Bombyx mori: one gene and its partner. The protein of the gene in region 1 interacts with the protein of each later gene in a biochemical or structural test. Links are inferred from orthologs where the notes say so. Each region holds a gene or a part of one and is shown in the gene's direction. Other genes may lie near its edges.

Evidence for each region.
Region 2: the proteins of phosphatidylinositol 3,4,5-trisphosphate 3-phosphatase and dual-specificity protein phosphatase PTEN (region 1) and polymerase delta-interacting protein 2 form a complex in vitro, tested with the Homo sapiens proteins (2 studies listed by BioGRID). The link is inferred for Bombyx mori from reciprocal best matches to the Homo sapiens genes PTEN and POLDIP2.

The regions. Positions count from the first base shown.
Region 1 is NC_085109.1:13,025,431-13,028,974, forward strand, and holds the start of phosphatidylinositol 3,4,5-trisphosphate 3-phosphatase and dual-specificity protein phosphatase PTEN, read left to right. Parts: upstream 1-744; 5' UTR 745-1,158; coding exon 1,159-1,396; intron 1,397-3,544. UniProt on the Homo sapiens protein: Dual-specificity protein phosphatase, dephosphorylating tyrosine-, serine- and threonine-phosphorylated proteins.
Region 2 is NC_085122.1:9,902,108-9,904,869, forward strand, and holds the end of polymerase delta-interacting protein 2, read left to right. Parts: intron 1-917; coding exon 918-1,123; intron 1,124-1,418; coding exon 1,419-1,530; 3' UTR 1,531-2,139; downstream 2,140-2,762. UniProt on the Homo sapiens protein: Involved in DNA damage tolerance by regulating translesion synthesis (TLS) of templates carrying DNA damage lesions such as 8oxoG and abasic sites.

The DNA.
Region 1 (3,544 bases):
CTGTTTTATCACTTGATACAATTTTTATCTTGCTATGTAATATGAAATCGTTTTTTAATAATTTTGTATTTCTTACGCATTTCTTCTAACTTATTCGTGCTATTTGATTAGCGCAACTTGTGGTTTGTCAGTGAAACGGTGAAAATCTCAGTGAAACATCGAAAATGGTATATACCGCGAACCATTTGCGATGACTTAAAAAGGAAGGTATTTAAATATACCTATTTTTTAATAGTGTAAAGTGTTATTTTCATTTTCAATAGGAATATCGCTGGTAAGTAATGTACATACATGATAAAAAATAAGACGAAAGATTTGTGTTTCGTGTTTAATTGTTAAACTCACACGAAGGTACTTGAAGTAGGCGTATACTTCAAACAGTAAATTAACACGCAGTGCGTAATTTACTACATAATTAATAATGACATAGATATTACAAATCGAATATTACCATCAGCATATTTAAATTCTCCCGCTAAGTATCACAGATAAGAAATCGGTTAAAGCGCCATCTATAAATTAGAAGATCAAAGATAAATTTTTTCTTCGTAAATGCTGATAATGAATGCTGAAAAACCCAAACCATGATGAAAAATTATAAGAAATTTTAAAATAAAAAATGTATATTAAAATTACAAACATTGAGTATTAGCTAGAATTTGAATTCGGCGCTTGTTTCCAACGTAGAACTAGCGTCACCTTGGGACACAAAACAAAAACTTTTTGGAACAAAGAGCTTTGCTAGCTAGGAAACCACTACCAGAAAATAAGGTTGTGTGGCATCTCGGTCGTACATATACACAACGTGAACGAATGAAAGAGATGCTATATAGATGTCTGCCGTCAGCAGAACCATCTTAATTTCTCGTGCAGTTGTTTCGCCTCGACCGTGTTCTAGTGCAGTGCAATCGCAGGATGGACGCCATTCGCGCTAGATAATTTTTATATAAATCAAAAAGAAAAAGCGTCGTCGCACGGGCTAGGAGCTATGGTGATATAGTGCGTAGAGTGCGATTCCGTGGTGGTGCTTCAATCCGGCGGCGGCGTGGAGGTCCTCGCGGGGCGCGGATGGCGAGCGCGGGCTCGCCCGGGGGCACCGCTCGCGCTCCGCCGCCGGCCCGATGAGAGGGGCACGCTCCAAGCACCTCGACTCGTTTTATGGGTGTTTGCGTGAGCTGCCGGCGCCGAGAGCGGAAGATCCCAGAAAAGCGGTCGGTGCCGGGAGTGGTTGGGCCCGCTAAGGGCGCGGCGGCGGAGCTGCTGCCCAGGCCAGTGAATCGCTTTACAGCCATGGCAAACTCCATGTCAAATATCAAGATGACCAACCCGATAAAGAATATGGTCAGCAAGCGCAGGATACGCTACACCAAGCACGGATTCAACCTGGACTTAGCCTGTATCCTTTTTGTGTAGTGTCTGTAAAAGTTAATGTTACGTTGGAGTTCTGTGTGCTAGCCTCAGTTGAAGGTGAGTACTTTCCGTTCCGAAACTGAAGTTTAAGCTTCTAAAATTATTTCATTTATTTCATATATCTTTTAGTCATGTCATAAGTGAAACAATCCAATTTACTTCGATATGTGATGTTCCTCTCGGCTCTCTCAAGGGCACTCATTATAACCTATAAAAACACATCCGTAAATTCTCCCGATAATGTAACGATGTTTCAGGTTATAGAAGAGAAGGGCATTTGTAAAAAAATACATTTACATTAAATTATGTAGGAGTGTGTCTTGAAAAGCTATTTGAATAGTCTTAGGTTACAAGGCCTCGAGCTTACACCTATAAGAGTACTCATTCGCCGATCATGAATCTTGGCCTTGTAATTTTTTTCCAAAATAACACAATAATATTTAAAATTGTGCGAAAAACAAATAATAAACGAACCAGAAATGTTTTTGTTCAAAACTGTTAAAATCTGGCATGGCAACAACCAACATAACCTATAACTTATACATAGGTATTATGTTCTATATGATTACTCCAACTGTTTACATAGTAACTATCAGATAGTGGAGTGTGCTCTGTTAGAAATGTGTATCTAAGTTTCATGTAATGAAGACAGTAGATTTGCTATGACCATATGCAATTACTTTATATGAGTACTAGTATTTAACCATGTGTTCGTACACATAACATTGTTATGTATCAATGTGTGAGAATAAAGCAATGTTTACACTAATTATGCTTTTGAAGCACATTTGCACATTTGCATACTAATGGCAGGTTTAAAAGTGGACTGTTGCATCTTAATGCATTGCTTTGACATGTGTGGGCAAGATAGATTGTGCGTCATGGAATACCTGGTTATAGTGTTTGTGTATTAATTATTCATACACATTAATGTAATATGATAATGAAAGCTTTGAATTACCTTTATTAATGTAATAAAAATATAGGGCAATTTAAAGGCTTTTATTTTGAAGATATTCAAAATATGTGTGTACATATAGTGTGGTAGTGTACTTTAAAGAACTACACTATCGACAGTATGCTGAGAATTTTATTAAAAAAAAATGACTGTGAGTAGATTAAAATTTAGAAAAAAGAAAAACATTTAAACAAAACTTATTTGAAAATAAATATGAATAAAAATTACAAATTAAACTTCATGAACAGTTAAAAATATATGATGGATATGGATTTTTTTTAATTTGCATTATAGTAGATTATGTCTGGTATGGTTGGTGGTATGGCGGCCGTGTCTGTAATCAGTACACAGACCAACAAATTAGCTGATGCCATAGATTGGCAAACAGCTACACCTGCCCATGGACATACTTTATAACTTTATCTAAAGTTGGAATCTTTAATCCCGTAAGAGTATTACATGCCACGTCGAGTGTTTGTAGAAAACAGTAGTAGAAGAACTGTCTTTGTAGGTACAGAATTTCCTATTCTGTATCTATACAGAAAACCCTATTTCATCCCTGCGGAACTGGTGATCTTAATATTTTTTATTTAAACAAAATAAATATCTATATTATAATAATATCAGAAATTATGATTTAAGATATAATTTAATTGTAATTAGAGAAAATCTGTTGATATCTTTGTTTGTGAACTGAAATTTTGTAGTTACTTTTGTAGCTCATGGCAAGGTTCATGGTGAGTTTCTATAATAGTACCATTAGCGTACGCCAGGTGGCGCACAATAAATGTGCGATCCAGTTTGATAGAGAATAAAACAATATTAATGTTGATTAAATGAATCAATTAACAACTTGCATAATATAGTTAATTTTAAAATATTTGGATTATCCATTCAGGACTTTACCACATGCCTCAAGCCTATGTTCATTGGTGACCACTTGACACTAGGTACGCGGTGATTTCGTCTTTCACCCACCACCCTATAAACATCTTAACAGACACATAAAGGTATAGGTAACCTATAGGTAAAAAGCCAATGTTTTGGGAACGTGTTTTGTATAGGCAAATCATATCTAACGAAATATAAAAAATAATGACAAAATATATTTAATATTAGTCTGAATAATAATTCTCGATATCAGAAGCACAAGGTCGGATCTATTTTATGCAAAAA
Region 2 (2,762 bases), on another chromosome or scaffold:
TATGTGAAAGTGCACAAATGTGGGAAAATGAAACAAAGCCACTGGACGTAACTTCTCGGAATCGCCCAAGAAGTTCATTGAAAAAATCTCAGTAAATGACTTAACCTAATAGGTGTATGGCCCGGTATTGGCGGTATAGAGGCATATTTAATGCGGCGTCAGTTGCGCTGGTGCGGCCATGTGATGAGGATGTCCGACGAGAGGATAACAAAGCGCATCTTCTACTCTGAACTCCAGACTGGCAAGCGAAAAAGTGGCGGCCAATTCTTAAGGTATAAGGATGTTCAGAAGAGGCATATGAAGAAATGCAACATTGACACTTCTCGTTGGGAAGCTCAAGCACAGAATCGTTTGGAGTGGAGACGCTTGGTACAGCAGGGCGTGCATGTCTTTGAAAACGACAGGAGGCGCGAACTGGACGACAGACGAAATAAATTGAAAAATAGACCGCCTTCCACCATTTTTTACAACTTCGTGGGTGGTGTTCTTACGTGTAGCTTCTGTTTGCGCACGTTTAAGAACAAGATAGGCTACTGTAGCCATATTAGAGCGCATGAGAGGCGCGGACATTAGCTTTTAAGTTATTAAACTGAAAAATTTGGTCGCCGTGGTCGAAAAAAACCATGAACGTATGGCTCTAATAAAGAATGAAAAAAAAGACAGTTTTACTGAGATTATATTTCATCCCATATCATTTCATCTCATTTCATTTTAATTCATCCCAGTTGATTAATGTTTCATCACTCAAATTAATCATCTTCATTTCATTTCAGTCCATATTATCATTATTCATAAAAATAAGAATGTAGAATAAAAGAAGACATGACCTAAAGGTCTTAGTTACCAGGTCATAAAATCTCTTAAAAAAAAAAACATCGAATTTCAAAATGAGTATTCGAAAATGGTTGCGTTGACAGTGGCGCTACTGCATCCGGTTGGAGAACCTCGGCGCGCAGGCCGTCCAGCTCCGCGAGCGACACTGGCGCATCTTCTCGCTCAGCGGCACCCTGGAGACGGTGCGGGGCCGCGGCGTGGTGGGGCAGGAGCCCGTGCTCGCGAGGCACGCCCCCGCCTTCCAGTACAGCAGCCACGTCAGCCTGCAGGCCCCCAGCGGCCATATGTGGTACCGACATCTTTGTAAACTTTAAATGTATCTCTCTGTAACCTCATAATTAAGGGACAGTGGTATTTTAGTGAAATTGCTTATTTGTGCCTTGAAGCAGTAATGCGTTTCGGTTTGAAGGGTGGGGCAGCCGTTGTAACTATACTGAGACCTAGAACTTATATCTCAAGGTGGATGGCGCATTTACGTTGTAGATGTCTATGGGCTCCAGTAACCATTTAACACCAGGTGGGCTGTGAGCTCGTCCACCCATCTAAGAAAAAAAATAATAGAAGTAATAAAATTCGATTTTCAGGGGCACGTTTAGGATGGAGCGCGAAGACGGCTACACGTTCGACTGCCGCATCCCGCCCTTCTCCCTTGAGAGCAAGCCCGACGAGACCGCACCCCCCGCCCCTCCCGCGTGACCGCGCCCCCCGCCCCTGACCGCACACGACTCAACCACTAAGGTCATCGAACTTAACCAGAACACTTCATTCTGAAATTAGACCCTAAGAAGATTAGCATTAAAAGAATTACTGATGCAATTTCTATATCTCTGTAAACTTGATATCACGAACGGAAAACAATTCTCTGAAACAACAATATTAAAAGGACTCCAGAATTGGACTTATGTGTACAAGAATTGATGTGTCAGTGCTTCGCTGTCATAACAAAAAAAAACAATTATCTATGGTTTAAAAAAAAATTACGACCATAAACGAAAGACTACCAGTTATGTGGTTCTGTAAATTATTAGTTAAATGAGAAATTTCTTTGTAAAATAAAAGTAAGCTAAGCGAGAATCATAGCAAAATTATTGTGAAAAAATATGATTGCCACGTGATTACGCGACCAAGTCATTTATGTTATACTTTGTTGTAGAATAACTAAGTGATAAATAAATAGGTTATTTTTTTGTTTGTTTTAATTGTTAGACAACCACGGAAGACTAGTTTCATTATAATGTATCTATTTACCAATTTGTTTTAAAATAAATTTTGTTTTAGATCTGTAATAAATTACAGTATTCTGTGGTTCCGAGTTTTATTTGAGCAGTAAACTTTGATCTTATTTTTATAATGTATCAAAATTCGGGTATTAGGGCGTCTTATGAGCCTGCATGGGTAGGTACGACCACCCCGCCTTTCTCTGCCATGTGTTCCGGTTTAGAGTCAAACTTTTTTTTTTATTTATTGGTTTTGTAGGCAAACGAGCATACGGTCCACCTGATGTTAAGTGGTCACCGTCGCTCATGGACGTCAGCAATGCCAGGGGCAGAGCCAAGCCGCTACCTATGGTACAATTGAGTCTCAGACCTACCTTCTTTTAACTGTTGTTAGAATGCCTTGTGAGTTCGCACGTGCAGATGTAACTACCGCGCCTGTTTCTGCGGCGGAGCAGTAATGCGTTTCGATTCGAAGGGCGGAGTAGCCCATGCACTATAAAACTGAGACTTAAAACTTATATGTCAAGGTGAGTGGCATTTATGTTCTTGGTGCAAATCTAAGCAAAAAAATATGTGACGACATTCACATTCCGAATTCTTTGGGATCCTGCATCCACGTGCTCGTTTAACCCGTTTAAAAAAAAAGAAGATACCATCAATAATATTTTTCCAAACATATGGAAAACGGTACCGGTAAAATGGGGCGATTAG